Stegostoma tigrinum: one gene and its partners. Each later gene encodes a partner of the first gene's protein in a complex. Links are inferred from orthologs where the notes say so. Each region holds a gene or a part of one and is shown in the gene's direction. Other genes may lie near its edges. The genes, in order: taf12, taf13 and kat2a.

Evidence for each region.
Region 2: taf12 (region 1) and taf13 share a complex: the UniProt entries of both Homo sapiens proteins name them as parts of the TFIID basal transcription factor complex. The link is inferred for Stegostoma tigrinum from reciprocal best matches to the Homo sapiens genes TAF12 and TAF13.
Region 3: taf12 (region 1) and kat2a share a complex: the UniProt entries of both Homo sapiens proteins name them as parts of the STAGA transcription coactivator-HAT complex. The link is inferred for Stegostoma tigrinum from reciprocal best matches to the Homo sapiens genes TAF12 and KAT2A.

The regions. Positions count from the first base shown.
Region 1 is NC_081377.1:40,948,542-40,952,294, forward strand, and holds the start of taf12 (transcription initiation factor TFIID subunit 12), read left to right. Parts: upstream 1-1,432; 5' UTR 1,433-1,546; intron 1,547-3,753. UniProt on the Homo sapiens protein: The TFIID basal transcription factor complex plays a major role in the initiation of RNA polymerase II (Pol II)-dependent transcription.
Region 2 is NC_081365.1:35,350,387-35,354,139, reverse strand, and holds the start of taf13 (transcription initiation factor TFIID subunit 13), read left to right. Parts: upstream 1-935; 5' UTR 936-1,040; coding exon 1,041-1,067; intron 1,068-3,753. UniProt on the Homo sapiens protein: The TFIID basal transcription factor complex plays a major role in the initiation of RNA polymerase II (Pol II)-dependent transcription.
Region 3 is NC_081384.1:13,605,250-13,609,002, reverse strand, and holds the start of kat2a (histone acetyltransferase KAT2A), read left to right. Parts: upstream 1-1,187; 5' UTR 1,188-1,237; coding exon 1,238-1,471; intron 1,472-3,753. UniProt on the Homo sapiens protein: Protein lysine acyltransferase that can act as a acetyltransferase, glutaryltransferase, succinyltransferase or malonyltransferase, depending on the context.

The DNA.
Region 1 (3,753 bases):
CATCCCTCTCCACACTGTGTTATCTCAGGCTCCAGCATCGGCAGTTCTTGCAATCTCTTAAACTGAGGTCCCATCTATTGTATGAAGTAGCTAGTACCTGTCATTACTAAGTAAGCACCATCCATTAGGACTTGAAGGACTGCTCCTTTGAGGTGCTGACAAGCTTAAACTGCAAGTTATCGGTTGCAAGTTCAGTACTAAGTTTTGCATCACAAAACAATAGTATGTACTTACTCTCATGTGTCACGAAAGAATCTCTTATCTTAGATGTAATGTAAGCAGCTGTTAATAACGGTGTAATAAACAAGCTCTTTTTATCAAGACTGTCTAATCTCTTCTGCCAAAGACTAATTGTGAGCTACCTTCCTGCCTTGGACCGTGTGTGTCTTAGATGAAGGAGTATTGGTGGCAGTGAATATATACTCAAACATACTGGTGGACACATCAAAGCATATACCACTGTCTACCCTCTCAAGTGGATACGAAAGATCCCACAGCTACTGCAATGAAGAAGGGAGGCAGTGGCCTCGTGGTGTTTTTGCTGGACTGTTTATCCAGAGATCCAGGTAATGTTCTGGGGACCCAAGTTTGAATGCTGCCACAGCAAGTGGTGGAATTTGAAGCCAACAAAAAATCTGGAGTTATCATTCATTGTCGAATGTTGGAAAAATCAATCTGCTTCACTGATGTCCTTTACAGAAGGAAGCTACCATCCTGACCTGGGCTGGTCTACATGTGACTCCAGACCCAAAGCAATGTGACTGTTTACTGCCCTCTGGGCAGTTAGAGACGGACAATAAATGCTGGCCTAGCTAGCAGCATCCTCTCCCCATTAATGTGCTTACCCCCTCCCCCTGGCCAATATGTTATTCAAAAGAATCACAGATGTGTAGAAGGGGGCCCTTTGGCCCGTCCTACTTGCACTAGCCCTTCACAACCGTCATTAGCTAGTGTCAAATCTCCGCCCTTCTCCCCCAGACCCTTGTACGCTATTCTGATCAACATAAACCATCCAAGGCCCTCTTAAACGCCTCAGACTAGAGAGGCAGTCTATTTATAGCGTTTGGGACATGAAGGGCGACATAGAAATGTAGTTCTTTCCTCGCCCATCCAAATGGGACTGGGGCCGTTGCCTAGTCGATGCTCCAGGGGTTGATTGACAGCTCGCAGGGTTGCCTGGCAACAGCCCCCAACAACTGGCCCTAACAACAGCACCCACTTAACCGCCAACCGTCAGCACGCGAGATCTTCGGAAGTCGTGCGCGTGCGCATTCCCTCGTGGAAGACAACTGGAAATAAAAGCATCCGAGGGTCGAAAAATCTCGTAGCGAATTATTTTACGAACTATCGCGCTGATGTGTTTTTTTGAAGTTTGTTTGTGTTTTCTTTTTGTGTTGGGTCGGTACCTGAAGGTAAGGGGTCAGGGGTCAGGGCTCAGAGCTGATTGTTTCCGGGTTCCCTATGAGCGGCCGCTGCTGAGTGCTCGTTATGACGGGGGCGCGGCTCGGAGGGCGCCGGTGCTGAGGCGGCGCGGCTGCCTGCCTGGGTGAGTGATCGATCCACTCGGCTTCACCGTGCTTCGTTCCTGGGAGGAGGAGGAGGAGGAGGAGGAGGAGGAGGAGGAAGAAGGGGCGGGGAAGCGGGATATTTACATCCAGTTTGTATAGAGGATCCTATAGCTGCGGCCTACACAGGCCCGGACAGACACCGAGACACACACACACACACACACACACACACACACACACACACACACACATCCCCGTTACACTCTCACACAGGCTCAGGCAGAGAGAGATAGGCACACACTCACAGGCCCAGGCAGACAGAGAGGGAGACACTCACACATGCCCCAGTTACACACTTACACAGGCCCAGGCAGAGAGAGAGAGAGACAGACAGACAGACACTCGCACATGCCTTGGTTACTCTCACACAGGCCCAAGCAGAGGGAAGGAGAGAGAGAGACACACTCACACACCCCAGTTACACACACACACAGGCCCAGGCAGACAGAGAGAGAGAGACACTCACATATGCCCTGGTTACACTCTCTCACAGACCCAGGCAGAGAGAGAGAGAGAGACACTCACGCATGCCCCAGTTACACACTTACACAGGCCCAAGCAGAGAGAGAGGGCCCGGTTACTCACTCTCACGGGCCCAGGCAGAGACAGACACTCTCACGTGTCCCGGAGACACTCACGCAGGCCCAGGCAGACAGAGAGAGAGGCGCGTGCACACTCAAACCGGGAAACAGGGACAGCAGAATCTTTGGTCTCCCACTGAGGTCGAAAGGGACAGAACGAAATCGGTCAGCATTGTCCCAGACAGGCACATACAGACTTGCTCTGTCTAGAGAGGGAATGAGAGAGGAGTTCCTGATCTGTCCCTCAGGCGTTGAGTGGGACAGAGAGAAAAAAGATAGGGTCTGTGCTGCTTCTGTTTTCTTGCAGACACAGAGGATCGCTGAAGTCCGGAGAGAGAGGAGACCCCTTGCCTGGTCTAACTCACTGGCCCAGAGAGAAATGAGATCCACGCAGACCCTGTACAGTCTCTAACTCTCACATTCTGTCTTTCATAGACATACTTACTCTCGGACACCAATTTTCAGACAGGTACATGGATAAGGGATCAGAGAGGCAGCAATGGGACTGAACAGCCCCTGGTTTATACACAGACTCAGAGCCTGCAGAGAGAGAGAAGCCCCTGGTGTGTGTGTGTGTCTCTCTCTCACGTGCAGGCCCCAAGAGTGAGAAATAGTCTGCATTGTCCCCGATCTCTTGCTCAGAGTCTCTCATTAACTCAGTCATTGGCCTAGGGAGGGATGGAGAGAAAAGCAGGATCCATCGTGCAGCTGGATTCACTTTGATTTTTTTCAGACTTTCCCTATGCCTCCGTTGCATGCATAGGCCTGGAGAGAGAGGGGGGGTGGAAAAAAGTGTCTTTTCTGTCCCTGGTTTCTTATTTGCGCACGGTCTCTCACACAGAAACACACTATAAAACAAATTGATGGAGAAACTCAGCAGATCTTGCAGCATCTGTAGGGAGAAAACAGTTAGGTTTGAGTCCAATGACCCTTCTCCAGAGAGAGAAGTGCAGTTTGCACTGCCTTGTTTACACTTGTTCAACTCATTCCATGTGTGCACAATCTCTCACTGGTACACACTCACACCTGCCCAGAGAGAGAGAGAGAGAGAGAGAACCTGAGTTTGCGCTGCCCTCAGTTATACACTGTATTCTTATGTAGGCCCATAGTTTATAAAATCACAAAGGGCTTGGATAGGGTGAATAGTGAAGGTCTTTTTCCAAGGGTAGGGGAGTCCAAAACTGGAGGGAATAGGTTTAAGGCAAAAGATATAAACGGGACCAAAGGGGTAACATTTTCACACAGCGGGTGGTGCAAATGTGGAAATGAGCTGCCAAAGTAGTGAGTTAGTGTTTAAAAGGCAACTGGATGGGTATATGAACAGGAAAGGTTAGAGGGATGTGACCCAAATGCAGGGCAAATGGGACTAGATTAATTTAAGATATCTGGTCAGCATGGATGAGTTGAACCAAAGGGTCTGTTGCCATACTGTACAACTGTGACTCCATAGCTGTTTCCCAGGCCCAAAGAGAGAGGGAAGTAGAGTGTGCTCTGCCTCTTCACTCGCTATCTCTCACATAGGCTCTTGCCTGCACATAAATTACGCCCGTTAACAATTCAAAATAAACAAATGCTGAATACTCAAATGATTATAAAGTACCACT
Region 2 (3,753 bases), on another chromosome or scaffold:
CAATGTGGTCAGAGTAACATGGAAATAGACAACACAATGTGCAGCTAGAGGAACACAGCAGGCTAGGCAGCAGCAGAGGTGCAGGAAAGTTGATATTTTGGGTTGGGACCCTCCTTCAGAAATTTCCTGACCTGAAACATCAACTTTCCTGCTCCACTGATGCTGTCTGGCCTACTGTCTTTCTCCAGCTTCACACTGTGTTATCTATGACTCCAGCATCTGTAGTTCTCACTATCTCAAAGTAACACTCTAAAGGACAAAGAATGAGGGGCACAGAGTTAAAATCATTTGTAAAAGAAGTAAACACAATATGGAAAAAAAAACTTACTGTGTAGTTCAGGTTGGGAGTTCATCGTCTATGGCAGAGACAGGTTCAATAGAGGCAGTCAAGAAACGACATGCAGGTGATGTGGAAAGTGTAGAAAAATGAGTCATGATGCCCATTTTAAGAGCTGGTGCAAACAACAGTCCAAACAGCATTTTTCTGTACCAATACAATTCTGATTCTGCGGTTGACTTTTTGTTGCCCTCTGAAATGCACCCAGTTGCATTCAAGAAACTAAGTGATTCAGGATGAGGGATTAAACATAATGTTAAAATAGATTGAGCATTCTATTTGGTTTTGAACAAGACATGGCTTGAGATTGAATGTACTTCTATATTTAAACAAAGTCTTTCGATTTGGCATCTGTGCCATTTTATCTGTCTTAAGGAAAACTTTAAAAATAAATACGGGTAAAGATGATAATAGGGACTCCAGATGCTGGTGAATCCGTGATAACAAGGTGTGGAGCTGAATGAACACAGCAGGCCAAGAAGCATCTTATGGGCAGGAAAGATGATGTTTCGCGCCAAAACTCCTTTTCTGATTAAGGGTTTAGGCCTGAAACGTCAGCTTTCCTGCTCCACACCCACCACGTGTGGCTGGTGACGCGGACGTCTCTCTGGAAACCCCTCAACATTATCCGTAACAGTTGCTCGGCTTTGCGCGCGGGCTGGTGACGTATGGTTGAATGGACTGAGATCTGTCTCCGAGTAAGATGGCGGACGAGGAGGACGAGCAGCCGGTGAGTCTGGCTCTTGAACTTCACTCTCTTTCAGCATGTTCACGGCTCGGATCGATGTCTCTTGCCGCCAGCAGCAGCAACGAAACGCCCTGAATGACGGTGACACTGAGCTATTTGCTAATTTCAGCAGCCATAGTCTGAAATCAGCAAAACAATTAAAAATCGGGAGCTGCAAACGACCCTACTTTTCTGTGATGATAGGAACTGCAGATGCTGGAGAATCTGAGAAAACAAGGTGTGCTAGGCCTGCTGAGTTTCTTCAGTATTTTGTTCTTACGTTTTCTGTTTCTGTAACTTTCAGATTCCCAGCTTCCGTGGCATTTTTCATTTTTTTGTTACTTGTTTTGAGTAACAGAGTATGTGCTGTGTGAAAGGTATGAGGTGTGGAGAAATTAGGGTTATAATAGTGGATTTTTAAAAAATCATAGCGTGGGTGTCATTATTGCCCACCCCTGATTGATTTGAGAAGCTGGTTATCAAACACTTTCTTGAACTACTGCAGTCTGTGTTTTATTTATTTAAAAAATATACTTTATTTATAAAATATCTTTATATACACCTGCAGCTCCTATGGCAGTTCAATTCTGTAGAGACCATATGAAAAAGCAAACAAACGTGGAAGTTTGACTCTATCCAGCAAACAAACCAAAGGCCTTTCTTACTTGATCAAGATCACATTTACATATATTTGAAGCATCGAGAGGGTCTGATGGTTGAACAGACCTCCATTTAACTTTGGCAGAAAGACCCTAAACGATGCCTTGGTGGCAGCTGTCCCAAAGCTTTAGTGCATCCCTCAGCATGTAGACCTGTACCTCGGAATATGCCTATCTGGAGCACTCAGTCAGGATCAACTCCTTTTTCTGGAAGACCAACAAGTTTCCGGCAGACCAAAGTGTTTTTCACCAAATTTATGATCCTCCAGGTGCAGTCCATGCATCCTTAGGAACAGATCATAGAGCACAGAGTCCTGTGTCACAGAGCTGCTCAGGACAAACCGCGACAAAAATCACTGCATCTTTCTCCAGACTTCCTTTGAATAGGCACATTCCAGCAGGAAATGTGTGACAGATCTATATCCTCTGCAGCTGCTATGAGGGTAACATGTGGAGGTACATGAAGAATCTCAGGTTTTTAAATTTGATTTATTCTTGTCACGTAGTTAAAATTGACATTCAAACTTGCGTTGTTCTATTTACATTTCATAAAATTGTTACATGTAAATATGCATTTCACACATTTTCTGAAGCCACCTTCAATTTGTACATTTCAAGTATGTATTTCTCAGGAGGATGCATGAACACATTCAAGTGATTTGTATCATTGCTTACATTAGGAGCAGTCATGGCCAGGAGGTTGAATTAGTTTGCTTGGTCTTGATTTCTAGGATTAATTATACTTGGATACAGAGGAGGAGGCTCAATCCTATGATTATGTCAGTTATGTCTTGATTCATGCTGTGCTTTGAGAGAGGCTGGCGGCTGGTTGGACTGTGAACAAGTTGTGAGAGATAATGGGAACTGCAGATGCTGGAGATTCCAAGATAATAAAATGTGAGGCTGGATGAACACAGCAGGCCAAGCAGCATCTCAGGAGCGGCTTTCTCTACATTGGGGAAACCAAGCGGAGGCTTGGGGACCGCTTTGCAGAACACCTCCGCTCAGTTCGCCACAAACAACTGCACCTCCCAGTCGCGAACCATTTCCACTCCCCCTCCCATTCTCTTGATGACATGTCCATCATGGGCCTCCTGCACTGCCACAATGATGCCACCCGAAGGTTGCAGGAACAGCAACTCATATTCCGCCTGGGAACCCTGCAGCCATATGGTATCAATGTGGACTTCACCAGTTTCAAAATCTCCCCTTCCCCCACTGCATCCCTAAACCAGCCCAGTTCATCCCCTCCCCCCACTGCACCACACAACCAGCCCAGCTCTTCCCTCCCACCCACTGCATCCCAAAACCAGTCCAACCTGTCTCTGCCTCCCTAACCGGTTCTTCCTCTCACCCATCCCTTCCTCCCACCCCAAGCCGCACCCCCAGCTACCTACTAACCTCATCCCACCTCCTTGACCTGTCCGTCTTCCCTGGACTGACCTATCCCCTCCCTACCTCCCCACCTACACCCTCTCCACCTATCTTCTTTACTCTCCATCTTCGGTCCGCCTCCCCCTCTCTCCCTATTTATTCCAGTTCCCTCCCCCCATCCCCCTCTCTGATGAAGGGTCTAGGCCCGAAACGTCAGCTTTTGTGCTCCTGAGATGCTGCTTGGCCTGCTGTGTTCATCCAGCCTCACATTTTATTATCTGTGAACAAGTTGTGTTGAGTTTTCAAGATTGACTTGATTTTTAATATTTTCACAGTTTGTGACAAACTTGTCCCATTTTCACATTTCTTGCATATGCATATAGTTCCATCCAGAATGATGCCCTGAATATTACTTGCCTTTCCCCTGTTTTCCAGTTTTGAAAACATTTTTATTTTTCAAATTAAGGATGAAAGCGTGGATTATAATGAACCAATCCCTGGGAAGGCACATGTAGTAATGAATGTGGAAGTAGGGATTTGAAGTGGTGTTGAATTGCTGTGTTAAGAAAGTGATGGGGAACAGTGGGATTGGTTTAAAATTAAAGCTGAAAAAGCCAATCATTTGCAGGACAAAAATACAGCATATTTGTGGGGGA
Region 3 (3,753 bases), on another chromosome or scaffold:
GATTTTCAGCTTCACCAGTTACACACAATTTCAACTGAATGTTTTAATGACAACAGTTCATTCTTTAAGTCTAACATCTAGTGTTTCTGTGTTGAGCAGATGGGGGGGGCCAACCAAGAGAATAATCTCTACAACCGCAAGCATCGCCCACCAATGAACACAAGGAGGAAAAAGGAGAATGGTCATACCCAACAACATTTGTTAAATCTTAGTGTAACATATAAGATTCTTATCAGACTTGACATGGTAGCTGTAGAATGGTTGTTTGACCTTGTGGGATAATCTAGGACCATAATCATATAGTCTCAGAGTAACTGGGTCACCCATTGAAGACAAGATTGGTTGGATATTTTTCTCTCAAAAGGGCAATGCATCTGTGGAATTCTTTACAACAGAAGGGTAGGTCATTACAGATATTCAAGGCTGAGATAGATTTCTAATCCGTGACGGAATCAAGGGCCATGGGGAAAAGGCTGATGATATCAAGAAACATCTCTCAGAAGACTCAATGAGAAGTCCAAATTTGATTTACCCTTTACATTCAAGATGCCAGCATCAGTATTAAGGCATGAATCACTGTCCTCCTTCGTGGCATTAATCCTTTAAATATCCCTCTTTCCCCCAAATATGTGATGATTTAGTTACATCCTCATTACCGAATATAAAAGTGACGGCAGAAGCGCCAAAGGCCTAGCCCCACCCCCTAACGGCATGGTCGCGGCCTCCCACACAGACACGACGGGGGAATAAAAGGAAAGAACACCTTCTACACAAAATAATAACCACTTACTCTCGTTTTTAATTTCTTGTGAATTAAGATATTTTATCGATTTTTACTAACCCACACACCTCCACTCACCTTAGCCCTCATGATTTTCAATCTAAACACCTCACGGTCTCATTGAAGCTTCAACAGTATCGGCTCCAAATGATAACGATGCGCATGCGTTTACATAACAACGCGGCAGCAAAAACTACAACTCCCATGATGCCTCGTCTGGGTTTACATGTAAAGTTATTATTTTTCACCCAGATCCCCCTATGAAGACCTTCCTATATATATTTCGATTTGATATATGCTAGACTAATTTTATTTTTATGGTAATTTTTGTGAGAAAGTGGACTACAGTTCCCAGGGTGCATCCCGTGTCGCGCCTGCGCAATGCCGGCCTGGCTGGTTGCCATGGCAGCGGGTGAAGAGAGGGCGGGGAGTGGTGGTGGGGCATTCTCGTAGGTGATGGCGGAGGCATCCCAAACGTCGCAGGCCCGGGCTCAAGCGCCCTATCCGACCCCGTGCCAGGCCCAGCTCCAGGCTGCGGCCTCGCCTTCTCCCGCTACTTCGAGCCCGGCCGATCCGGCCCGTCCCGGCGCTAGCAGCAATCAGCAGCGCTCGGTTCAGCGCAAGGCCCAGGTTCGCGCTTTCCCCCGGGCCAAGAAGCTGGAGAAACTCGGCGTCTTCTCAGCCTGCAAGGTAAGGGCAGGGCGACTGAGGGAGGTGACCGGGGGCTCCCCGAGCAGGGTCACAATCCCCGCCTGACTCTCTCAGGGTGAGACCGGGTCACTTTTTCTCTCTCTCAGCGCCAAACTGGGCAGCACACGATCTTTTCTGGAATTGAAATGTTTAGAATGAAAAGCACCTCATTTTTCCTGCATACCCCTTCTGCCTTGTCATCAATAACTCTGCACACACATTGTCTAGGACAACCCAAACTGAGAGTTGTGGATAATCTGTCGGGCTGCTATCCGAAAATTGACAGGAGTGCAAATTGATGTTAACGTAGCGATATGGTCCAGAGTCTTTCAGTCACTGCAACGCCCCTTGTTGAATAGACAAAGCACCGACAAAGCACCTTAGAAATACTGTACCTTTCAATTTTTAACTTCTAATAAATAACACTTCTGAAGCAATCAAATCGCACTCTTCTAAACTCATAAATCACACTGTTTAGTTAAATGCTTCAAGTGTCCGCTTTGAGAGTACCGTATGGAGTAGAAGTAATGGGAGGAGGAATTTGCAAAAAGTGAGGTAGGGATATAATGGGCAGTTGAGACTTTAAGACTCTGTAGTAAGAAAACCAATGTAATAGAGTTCCTTAAATAGTTTGGGACAAGAGTACAATGACGGTTGGAAAAGCAGAGTGCATCTACTGTTAAATAAAACCAAGGAGCTTGGGGGTGATGGATCCATGTGAATTTTGAAAAATGACTGAGGGGCAAATGCTGTCAAATTTAACCTTGCATGAGTAAACAGAGAGGAGTTAAAAACAGAAAGTGCTGTGAATCCTGGCAGGTCAGCCAGCATCTTTGGAGAGAAAAACAGGTACCACTTCATGTTTGTGACCTTTTACATTACTGTGGATTTGGAGTTAAGTGTGAACAAAATGGGTAAGGAAAGGCCAGAGTGATCTAGAGAGCAGCTTCATGAGCATTATTAATGAGATGTTAAATTTCCCCCAGTTGCTATGGTGGCATTTGAAATTGTATCACCACTGCGTTAGTCCAAGTTTCTGGATTCCTGGTACAATAACATTGCTTCTATCTTACTGTTCTTTTGAGTGAAACAGGGCCACTGAAAAATTTAGTGGAAGAATAATGGAAATGAAAGTGTTTAGCAGAATTTTATAAGAGCAGTCTAAGAATATCCTAAAGGTGAACCAGAATGTGAGCACCCACAATTGGCTTGAGAAGGGAGCAGAGCTGATCAGCAAGAGAGCCAGTGAGGAATGGAATGAGAGTGATCAGAGAGAGACCTGGAACAGGAAAAAAGTATAGGAGATGGTAATATGCCCTAATGTATTGAAGAAAGGCTTGGGAGATCATATCGGATTTTCTTTTTGAAGACAACGAAAATGGTCATGAACCAAAATTTAAAAACAAGTCTCTATGAACTTGTGATTTGACAAGTTCAAAGGATTGACATTGATCCAAATTAGTAGGGCAGTTGAGAGACGCAGTGACCCTTCTTCAGAACTGGACTTGATGCTACCAGACCTGAATTTTTCCAGCAATTTCGGTTTTTGTTTCTGATTTCAGCGTCTGCATTTTGTTTTCTTTCTGGAAATAGTTGTACCCTAAAGCCCTGATATGCGACACGTTTGTTTTAACTATATTTCTGTTGAAAAAAAGACACAATCACTGCCCTTTACTTGCATTTTGAAAAAAACTGCGTGTGCAGAATGGATTTACCCTGGTCAGCTGTGATGAATACGCCTACTAAACTCCTTATTGTCTTTGTGAACTATTAATCACATCTGCCGAGTAAACCTGAACAAAAATAGTACTTTTATATTGAATTATTACTTTAAGTTCTGTAACATTTATTGTGTACAATATATATGGTTTGATCGAGTAGCTTCAAGTGCGAAGGTGATACTCTTTCCACTTGTACTTAAACAGTTAGTAGTGTGTTTTTATCGCATCAATCACCTGAACCCAAATCTAGAGGAAATAGCTGTGTATGTCCGAAGGCATAGGAAAATTCAGCTCTGAAACATTAGACATTGCAAGAGCTTTACTCTCAGAATTACAACCTTAAATTCTGAGAAGAATTTCACCTTTGAAATATGTTCATAGTAGTTACTAATAATGTATGAATAGTCTTAAGAAACCATTTCTAGTATTGAGATGTTGTTGAGCAGTTGGCTTTAAAATTAAGGGGAAGCCCCTCTACATGAATTCCCTGATTGAAACTAAAGACTGTGGTGCTTATTTGTACTGCAGCTTCTCAGTTTGTTGGCTACTGAGAAACATTCA